Drosophila melanogaster: one gene and its partners. The protein of the gene in region 1 interacts with the protein of each later gene in a pairwise test. Each region holds a gene or a part of one and is shown in the gene's direction. Other genes may lie near its edges. The genes, in order: CG13293, CG12985 and Dyro.

Region 1 (3,759 bases):
AACACTATAGCCTATGTCCAGAAACCAAAATCCTGGGACAATCTAGCCAACAAGGCGGGCTTTAATGTGGGTTACGGTTACCTTGACACTGTGGCCGTTAAGCCAGCCATAAAAATGCAAATTGCCCAGCAGCGTCACTCGATGCCGCGAAGGAACCCGTACGGCAGATACTCCACTTACGGCGATGTGGAGAACTATGCCCCACCGCCCACCGAGTTTGTGGGCGAGCTGACCACCACCACAACCACCACAATTACGGCCAAGTCCACGGAGGAGCTGTTGGCCGCCTGCGATTGCTTGACGCCTCAGCAACAGGCTGCCATTAAGGCGGCCCAGTACCAACTCAGTCAAAATCAGAAGCTGTCCCACCAGAACTCCTGCCAGTTGGGATACTACTCGCATCTGCCGCGACCTACCACTGATGTGGGCACCTCCACCACTAGTCAGCAGGTGCATGGTGCAGGAGATGTCCAGACGACTTCGGAGGCCACCAGATTGTAGGTCAAAGTTGTCTAGACCGTAACGAGATCCGTCTCAAGAATAATATGAGTGCACCATGGGTAGAGGGTGATGATCAAATAGTTTTGAAGTTTGATAGGCGTGTTCAGTTAATAGAGGTTTAAAACTAAATGTTATTTTAAATGAGAAAGAATTGAATGAGTATGAAAAAAAATATTGAATAGAATAAAAGTCGAATCAATCATTTTGATTAGTCTGGTAATTAAATTATTATTTAAAAATAAAAATAGAATTTTCTTTCTAAACTGATATCTGTATATTCAATGTTGTGTAATTTTTGAACAAAATTATATTAGGTATTTAAGGAATAGATAATTTAATATTTTGTAGCTTGACTAAAAAATGTAGAAAATTATTTGTTTGGTATCCAAATGTAGTCAATGGTGAAAAAAACCTTCTTAAAAAAGATAAGAATTTAGTACTCATTCCAAACTTACCTCATTCAAATCAACTCACACGCCTAACCTGTGCATGATTCACTTAGTTGAACCGCTCATGAGTGCACTCATATTCTGATCCATTCGCGTCTTCGAAAACCGAACATCGAACTCATTTGAAATGGTAACTAGAGCCAAATTTTAAACATATAACTCAGACAAAAATCAACATGTAGCTTAACTATTCAATAATATGTTAAGTGAGTTTTATAAATGTAAGATAAATATTTAGCATCCAAAAACCGCAGGACAATACACAGAGATAAGCCCAAAAGAAGATACTTCTAAGAGTAGATGATTCAGAAATTAGAACACCTTAAGACCTATAAAAACTAAACTTATAGCTATCTTCTGTTTGTGAAACTCACTTAATATATAGGCGATATAACTAGGACGCTTTGACGTTTAGATTTTTGGATTTATTGAAAGACTGAAAAGCCACGCGCATATTCCAAATGAGAGAAAAATCTGGCGTCTTGTAATGATAGATAGAGGATTATATATGTATCTGTATTTGCCATATAATATGGTTAACCTATCATGCGACTAGATACTGTTTTACATGTAGCATATACACACTTAAGCATATATATTTATTGCATACTGTATCCGAACAATGTAATTTATTTCATTGTGATAGTGAAAGAGCACTAAAAACCGCAACAATTTTAGTCGCATTTTTATCAAGCAACCAACCAAATATAATTTAAAACGCTTTTATGTAATGCGAAATGTAAATGTTATTGAACTTATGTATTGCAATAAAACTCAAGAAATGTGTTCATGTAGTGTGACCCCTAGATAAAAATAGAAACAGAACAAGATATATTATTGGTAGGAGGAGGAATTATTCTTTATTCCTGCGAAAATTTTCTAAAAATAAGGTGTACATAGAATTGAATTTATTTAATAAAAATCGGCTTTATGGGTTAATAAAAACTTGTGGAACACCCCAGGGAATTTCATCAGCTGATTGGCTCGAAAGTGGCGCCACCTACCGTACCTATTGGTCATTTTACAACCCCTGTAGAGTGTTACCATTGGAAGTCTCCACATGTAACGTCTTTTCGCCGGTCAGCTGTTCATCCCCCGCGAAATTGGCAACTGTCAGCGACGCCCTCTGTTGGCCATCGCTGGCACCAGGCAGCTGTCAAAGTGGCAAAAAAATCAATACCAACCCCCAACCCTCCTCGTTAAAAATGTAAATGCGAAAAAATTCAATACTGTGCAGCCAAACGCGACGGTCGCAGCGTTCTCCACTCACAATCGCTCTCCCCGCTTTATCCCCCCAGCACGTAATGCTCCAGTTCCGGGATACTATCCAAATATCAGTGAAAGATTGACAACGGTTCTTGAATCGCCCCCAAAGTCCTCAGTGAAATTCCCAACAAGGGCAACTTGCAAACCGGCAAAAAAATAAAAAGCGACCCCCGCGTGTGTGCAGTGAGTGAAAAGTGGCAAAGTGTTCGAGCGCTAAGCTATAGAATACGATCTTGAGCAGATCCGGCAAAACATATGTCAAGTGCAGGGCGACGCGACTGCTAGCAGAGGTTGCGACTGCGACTTCCGCATCCGCTCCTGTTTCTGTTGTTGTTGGTGGCAGCAGCAGATACAACAATGAAAAGGTGAGTGTGCAAAGGGGTTCCCCCTGAGAAATGAAAAATAATGCACAACAAAAAGAAACTGTGATTGTTTCATCTTGGGTTATATTACATTATATTAAAGCTCATTTACTATGTAAATCTGAATGGGGGGGAGGTGGCAACTAACAGAGATGTATTTTATATCTCTAAGGGAGCAACTTCTTGCTTGCGAATTCGATTTACCCGCTAGCAACTTAAGAGTATTTATTTTTAGGGAAAATTATCTTCAAGTAAATACTTGTACTGCTGTTTTGAAACGTTCAACATTTTACGTTTTCAAATTAAAAACTTTTTAAATGGCCTATCGAAAGTATTTCACAGTGATATATTTAATTTTCCGACTACACACAGTTGGCAGCTAAAATACAAACATCCTTTGCCCACTTCGGTGCGAGATCAATTTCGATAAATAGAAATTGCCAATTAAATGTGAAATGTAAATTGCCCCCGGGTGACAGTCGAACAGTTCACAAAAAGTGTCCTGGGGGCCAAGGCAAAACTTCTCCGCTGGTCACTCGCATCCGGTTTTTGGTCCTGACAAAGTTTTTCTGCAGCTTGTGATGTCTGCAGCGAGATATGAGAATTGTAACTTTCGGACCGACTGTCTGTCTGTCTGTTTGTCTGCCTGCCTGTATCATTAGGGCAAAGTTGGCCCACTCAAGTAGTTGGTTTTTATATGTACGTCTCGTTCTGGAATTATTATTTTTTTATTCCAGCTAGGCTGCCATTAATTATGAAGGCTGAACTATGCCAAAGTTTTGCAGACACCTCCTCCGCCATCGCACTTTGAGCCGCTCAATTGTTAAACCGAAATTCATAAGTCCTAATGACTGAACGGCTGCACGAAGGATGTGGTTGGGGGGGGGGGGAGAGGTCCTTTTTGGAGAGCAGCAGGACAGAAGGAGAGCAGGACGGGAGAACAGAGGGAACAGACAACTTGAAGTTTGCTGCGGATGCGGACGTTGCATGTACGACAACATCATTATCAGCGGCGGCAGCGTCAAAATGCCATTAAATGTGTAGCCTACAATGCCTTTGAAGGATTACACACCCCACCCACCGGCGCCTCCCTATTTACACCCACACACACACACACACTTTCCGAAAGAAAAGGAGCGAAACGGAAAAAATGTGCAGCTTTGTCAAATAGCAAAGAACGC
Region 2 (3,759 bases), on another chromosome or scaffold:
AAGAATGTAAATGCCGCCGCTGACCGGCTATGTTTATTATATTTATTTTTGCTGCTGTTTTATTTTTCTTTCGTTGCTGTCTTATTTATTTTTCTGTACTTTTCTTTTTTTTTTTGTTTAGCTTGAGGTGGTTCAAAGTTCAATGACCGATTTTGCCTTTGCCGAAACTGAAGCGAAATGAACTGAAATGAACCGAAGTGAAGTGAGCGGCGCAGTCGCAGAGCTTTGCTGCCATCTCGCTCCCACAAACACACAAACACGCACACACACACACACACACACTGGGGCACATGGCCACACACAAGGTCAGTTAATAAAGTTGATTTTTGCTCAATACGCAATAGCGCAAAAATGTGCAAATAAAAAATATAAACACTAACAAGTGGCAAGCGAAAATACAAAAGACAACAAGCGGCAATTAAAAAAGAACCTTTCATGAAGTTGTTTTTGTGATCTCTCAAGATCGCGTTAAATAAAAACTTATCAAATGCACAATATTATGATAAAATGTGGTAATAAAACATAAATGATGTTGGCAATGATTAAATTTACTTCTCTATAAATCAAAAAGAACATAAAATGAGCATTTGGTTTGTATTATAAAGTCTCTAAATCTATTCGAGCGAACGATACCATATTTTCATAGTTTGCGATACTCATAAGATCACATTGGAAAACAAGTGTATGATTTCCCTTGCACACTTGCTGTCAATTGAATTGAACGTTCTGCCATTTTGCAACTTTCTTATAGAGAACATGGCCGTATCATTCCCTATTTCCGCCACTGTACTGACTGTTTTGTATTTTGTATGGTAATTGAAAACTGCGCATTCATTGATGACGGATGACGTCGCAGCTTTGACAGTGGCATTGAAAATTTCAGTTTCGCAAGCAGACTGCAGTAAACTGGTGACCAGTCGGCAGCAACAACAACAATGATAATGAATGCAGGAAGAACAAGAACAAGAAGACTACAATAACGATACTATATACCATGTATGTACATATATATATATATATATATATATAACAAAGGAACTGAATGGCCGGCATGAATTTCACTTAATAATGTGTTGCCCGAAAAACGTTTTTTTCCTCTGCATCTATGGAATTTCATCTTTCAAATAACTCATCTTGAATCTTAAATCAATTATGCGGATAGCATGTTTTCCCTGACTTTTATGCGTAATTTCAACGAAGAATTTGAATTCTCTCACGGAATAAATGTTAGTATATTCAGTGTAAATGAAAAATACGCAAATATCTATTATAGCGCTATCTATGTATCTATGAATCTGTATCTACAGATCGTTGCAATTGTTGATATTACTTCCGCCAGGTGGCGTTTTCCCCACCGCCAGTTAACTGCATTCATGGTTTCTGTTTTCCGCACACTTATTTATTTGGCCGCACTGATTAGAGACTGGAATCACAATAATAATAACCAAAACAAATGGCAGCACGTGCTTAGCATCTGGTTTGTTGTGATAAAGTGCGACTTTTCCCAGCCCACCCACACCTATGCCGCTTTCTACCCTTTCTCCGCTCGCCACACGTGCTTGCTAGTCAGCTAACCAGCTAGCTAGTTAGTCAGCTAGCCGCTAGCTAGTTAGATACTTAGTTAGCCAGCCAGTTGGCTGCGTCAGCGTCGCAATTGCGCCGCAATTGGGCACTAATGAAGTATTCTTGATACGCATTTACACTGCATTGGGCAAAGGGAGAAAGAAGGTGCGAAAGGTGAGCAAGGTGCGAAAGCTGCCAACTGAGGTGCTGATTACCCATCGCTATGGCAGCCATTTATCCTGCAGGACAATGGGAAATGGGAAAGCTGGAAAAGCGCTGGTGGAAAAGTATGGGCAACCACTCAGCTCAATTAAAAAATCGTTAAAGGGCAAACAATTGCTTTTCCGTTTCACAAATACGTTCTAGCTCTTTTAGACGGTAAGTTAAGGGGTTCCCATCATCAATTAAACTGATACTATGCGAAAGTACTAGAAAGCCAGCCAACTGTAAAGAATCGCAAAATACCCTGAAATATGTATATATTCTATGGAATATCTAGTAGTTTTGAAAGCAGCAGCCTGAGTCGCTTTCCTCAAATTCCGGATTCAAAATGTATATATTTCCACCATATACCCTGCTCCTTATCATCCTCCGCATTGTGAGTGTCCGTGCGATGAGCTTCGACCAGCCCCACAACGAACACGACGCCTCCCTGGCTAGCTATTTGGACAACACCAACGATGACATATCTCCCCAGGGCTTCAACGGCGATGGGAATGGTAGTTCGGGGGCCACAGTGGTGCCATTCCCTTATCTGGGATGCACCACAAGACCGTCCTACCAATCTGGATGTGAAAGCATGGACGAAAGCGCTAGGGACCGAGAAAAAGATCGCAATATTGATCGGGATCGAGGCCGAGATTGGGATCGAAATAGGGGTTGCGATAGAAACAGGGATCGGGACAAAGACAGGAATAATATTAGAGATAGGGACAACTGTGACTCCTGTGACGAGATTATCAATTCGCGGCTGAAGGCCACCCACATTGCCCAGAATGCCGCCCAGGTGGCCAAGGCAGCCAATGATGCACAGGCGGCCGCCGCTCAAGATGCATCGCGGCAGGCGAAGATGCAGCTGGCGGAAAAGGCCATCTCCGCTGCCCGTGCCGCCGATGCGGTGCTCGAGGGCAAACAGGCAATGGTGGACAACTACGCTAGGGAGATCCGGGATGCCGAGGAGGTGGTCGGACAGGTGAGCTGCTCGCTGCAGAACAGTGAGACGAACGTGGAGGCCTCCTGTGCCGTGGTCAAAGCAGCGGAGGTTCAAGCCGAAACATTCAGGTATAATTGATAAATATTCAATATTCAATATTGTTCACAATCCATCCAACTATCTACACAATTTAAAAGCGGAACAATTATATCGTTATATCTATCATAATATCTACCAGCGATAACATATCGATTTTTAATATCAATGCTTTTTCGATTACTAATGTTTTCAGGGCCCTCGTACAGCAGACGAGTGGCATTTTGTCGGAAATGGACAGCCTAATCGACCAGTCGAACATGGATATCGAGGAGAAGAACCAAATGCTGGCGGCGGCGAAGGCACGTGGTGACCGCCTGGCCCGCCAGGTGGCGCAAGCTAAGTCGGAGTACGAGCAGGTGAAGGAGGCGGCCTGTCGCGCCGCATCCGCCGCCGTGGAGGCCAAGCAAAAGGTCGGCACCGGCAGTTTGCTGTACAAGTCGTCGGTTCACCGCCTACCCACTGTCGCCATAAGGGCCAATGGAGCGCGCGGTTACGCACTCGACAGGAACACCTGCAATGCTCTCCTGGATCTCTACAGGCAGCGCCGACGGCAGCAACAGCGAATGCGGCGGGAGAAAATCCTGAACGGACTGGATCGCTATCAAGGGAATTCACTGTACGGGGATCACTCGTACTAACAAATGCGCTCCCTACTAACGGATGCTACGTCCACAATTCTGTTTTTCTAAACGCTGCAAATTATTTTAACTCTATTTGGATAAGAGTTTCGAGATTTTTCAACAATTTCAGTTTCACTTTTTGAGCGTAAATATGAAGTATTACCTAAATGCGAGTTGTATAATCCTTGTTTTCTTGTTAATTTATTTCCTACTTTTAAGATCGTACTAAATAGCTTGCACATATCATTACAAATCATTAATGTATTGTCAGTTATGTACATATTAAAGATCTTCCCCGTATCGAGTGACCACCGTAGCTGCTTC
Region 3 (3,759 bases), 5.2 Mb from region 1:
ACTAAGGAAATGCAAACACTTTGGCGTTAATGAGTAAGCGATCGCTTATACATCGAACAATTTGATAATTTTAATTATTTAATTCAAAAAATACTTCATCTGGCCCAAGATGATGCCTACCAATATTCAAGTATATAGTATCTAAATTTTAAATTCAATCATTTAAAAGTAATTATTTTAGTACATACACATTTCTGTATAGAAAGATTAGGGATTAACGGAACAAATACAATAAAAGTTTTTTATATTTTCGTTATATGTTGTAAATCCTTAAATTTAAATCTTTCACATTTAAGCGTCAGCGAAGTGGCTGTGTTTATTAACTTCTTGTGCTGCAGGGTATGCATAAGTCCGTAAAACCGGTTTTTTGTCGAGGTAGGTGCATGGTAATGTCAGCTTAATACCGTTATCGTAGGTGCGGCAAACACGTCGCTGCAGCTGCGACTGCGCCGTCAACTGCGGCAGCGTCCCTGCTTGCTAATGAGCCGTTAGGATGGACAGCAGAAGGAGAAAAAGCCGCAAAAGCTTCCGCAATTCAAAACAGCTGAGCTAGAACGAGAAGGAGCGATTGTGCAAGACGAAATGCAAAACTGATAAGAAAAGTCCGTTTAACGTGCTCCAAATATGTGTGTGTATGCCTGCGTATGAGACACGGAAATTCGGTGAAATTATACAAAATATTCGCACGTGGTTTAGGACACGCCATTCAGAGGAGAAAGAGAAGACATATGTACTATGTATGCATGTGTGTGTAAGAGCTGGAAAAGAAGAGAGGGAGTGCAGGCGAATGCAAAATCAAAGTGCTGCCTACGTGAGCGACACCTTGCGATTAAGTGACAAAAAAAGTTCTCAAATAAAGATCGAAACAACTAATACCCTATCGGCAAACAATTTGATACAAACTTATTAAATTCATTATTCATTAAATACACATTTTGGACACATGCAAAAAAATATCGGCTTTAAATAATGCTTGAAAAACTTAAACTTTAAACTATGCTAGAAAAATATCTGTAAATTCAATTCTTGCTCTAAAGTTTCTTATGGGAAATTACTTAAACCTCCTTTTTAGTTAAATAGGCAATACTCTTTGTAAAGGGTATAATGAAGCAGAATAGCTGAAAGACAAGCCCGAAAACGTCCAAACTCTCCGTGAAATGCAATTCCTTTTTCGATTCTTTTTCTGTTATTTTGCTGACTCGCTAAATTTGTTACCGTGTTTTCGAGCTTTCTGCTGTTGTTGTTATTATTTTTGCTGTGTCCAGCAGCAGCAATAATAAGAACAACAACAGCAAAAACGACAGTGGCAACGATAACAACTTCTCAGCCGTGCTGATGAGAGAAGTGCGAGAAAGAGAGGGAGAGTGAGAGGACCAGGCAGCAACAATATTTACAGCTTTAGCGGCCAAAAGCACAGTGGGGCAAAAGATGTTTTAGGGAAAAAATTATTCATAATTGATGTCCCAAAAAAGGCATGTAAAAATCTCTCGAAGAAAAATATATTTTAGCAATTATTTTACGACGTGTTGATTTTTTTAAATATTCAATCTAATATTTTTTTTAACTTTTTCCGAATTCTTTTAACAACTGAACCATAATATGAATATCGAAATAAATTTAATCACGAACACAAAATTTCTATAAAGCAACTTTAACTTCAGTTATCTATCTGAATATTTTAATATGTTTATTCTATTTTTAATGAAAGCCACCTTGTTCTACGTGATTTTTGCCAACGATCCCCTACTTGCAACACGAAAGCTGCAGCCGCCACACTGTGCCATGTGTCGCTGTTTAAAAATAGGCTTTTGCCTAGATGCTTGTGTGTGTGCTCGTTGGTTTCCAGCATCTCATGGTCGCCGCCGTTTGGCAACCGCTGCCACATGCGCAGAACGATCGGATCGGGCCCACTGTGCAACGTGGGGCTGTTGACGACAGCAGCAGCAGGCAGTCGTAGCAGCAGCAACAGCAACGATCGCAAGTCGCGACACGAGCAAAGCGAACGGAAAGGTGTGTGGACCAGGGGGCGGGGGAGCGAAGAGCAAGTGACGAACTTACGGCCAACAGCAGCAGCAACACCAACAACAACGGCAACCGGCCCGTTTGGAGCAGCGCGCATGCCACACACAGTTTAAATATGTGAAATTAGTACAAATCGTGATTTCAACAGCGAACGACGAGCGACGAACGAGCGTCGACGAAGTGGCGACAACCAAAAAAGAAAAGCACGAGAGAGCAGCAGCAGCAGCAGCAACAGCAGTAATAGCAAAAGCCACAGGCAACAACAGTGGCAGCCACAGCAACAACAATCGCTAGAAAAGCAGCAGCAACACAACTCACCTCAGCAACAAAAGCAATAAAGAAAACTGATAACACCAGCTGGAATATCAGATGATTCACCAACAACAACAACATCGAGGAGCAAAAGCAACAACAGCTGATGCCACAACTTCAGCACAAAGAGCAGCACACCAGCGGTAATGAAACTCAAAACAATAGAAACATTGAAAATAATATTTACAACAATACCACTATCAACCACTTGAGCTAGCACAACACCAACAAAAGCCAAGAATAATTACACCAACGCCAAACGGTACACCAACGAGAACTTTCAACAAGAGCAACTTTAGTAGAAGTAACCGCAACAATAATAATAATTACACCAACATTTATACCAATAGACAACAATCTACAAACAACTGTAACTTTTGTTGGTGTGCTCTCTATAGGGGCAACAACTACCCCAGCCGCAGCAACACCACGTCGCACATCGGTGGCGACCACAACAACAACAACATGCAATAAAACAGCTGATAGCGACAGCAGCAGCAGCAACAACAAAGCCTGCCATTATCAAGCGAGCAACAACAGGTCGCGAAAAAAAAAACAAAAAGCCCGCCTGCTGCAGCACACACACACATACACAGCCATACAGAAGAGCGGGTGTGCGAGAGAGAGAGGCAAAGACAAAGTCGCACACCTTTACCTTTGCGTTGATTTTGGACGTCGCAACTGAACAACTGACGCTTCGCGCTCGCTCGCTCTCCGTGGGACTCGCTCTCTCTCGCACAAAGTGCAGCTGAGCTGCCGCCGCCGCACTTGCCGCTGCCACAAATACAACACGGCCAGCTGAACGAACGCTCTACGCTCGCCGCCGCCGCTGCTGCCGCCAGTCGAAAGTCAAAAGCAACGTGTTGTGGACGCTTTTTTCGTCGCGTCGTTGCGTTGCGTTCTCTCTCTCTCTCACTCCTTTTCCTATCACCAACACAACCATACAACCGACACACCAGTACACCACCCACCAACCACCCACCACCCCGAACCCCCGCGCAGGCTGGGAAAACTTTCACCATTACCAACAACAACAACAATGTCCAGCAGCGCAGCCACAGCGCAGTTCAAGCTCGATGCCAACTCCAATGCCATTGCTTTGATAGCCGATGTTGCCACGCTGCCACTCCCCCTTTCGCCCACTGCAACAACAACAACGGCGGCGTCGGGAGCAACAGCAACCGCACCAGCTGATCGCGTCGAATGGTCGCGCTCGACGATCTTGAACTTCATCGAGGACTATCGCCGGCAGCGAGTCCTTTGGGATCCCAATACCAAAGGTTACCACATTAAACAGACCAAATACGAGGCACTCAAGCTCCTGAGTCAGAAATATGGCACGGAAATTCGTTCGATTAGATCGAAGATCAAATCCCTGCGCAGCTCGTTTCATCGGGAGCACGGTAAGGTCCTGAGTGGACGAAA

What was found.
Region 2: the proteins of CG13293 (region 1) and CG12985 interact in a two-hybrid assay, tested with the Drosophila melanogaster proteins (one large-scale study listed by BioGRID).
Region 3: the proteins of CG13293 (region 1) and Dyro interact in a two-hybrid assay, tested with the Drosophila melanogaster proteins (one large-scale study listed by BioGRID).

Annotation. Positions count from the first base shown.
Region 1 is NT_037436.4:6,080,773-6,084,531, forward strand, and holds the start of CG13293 (uncharacterized protein), read left to right. Parts: upstream 1-2,110; 5' UTR 2,111-2,581; intron 2,582-3,759. Other genes in the region: ssp6 (short spindle 6), read left to right, coding at 1-501.
Region 2 is NC_004354.4:17,881,632-17,885,390, forward strand, and holds CG12985 (uncharacterized protein), read left to right. Parts: upstream 1-2,086; 5' UTR 2,087-2,176; coding exon 2,177-2,844; intron 2,845-3,008; coding exon 3,009-3,453; 3' UTR 3,454-3,607; downstream 3,608-3,759.
Region 3 is NT_037436.4:11,294,203-11,297,961, reverse strand, and holds the start of Dyro (Dpt-YFP repressor by overexpression), read left to right. Parts: upstream 1-2,042; 5' UTR 2,043-3,373; coding exon 3,374-3,759.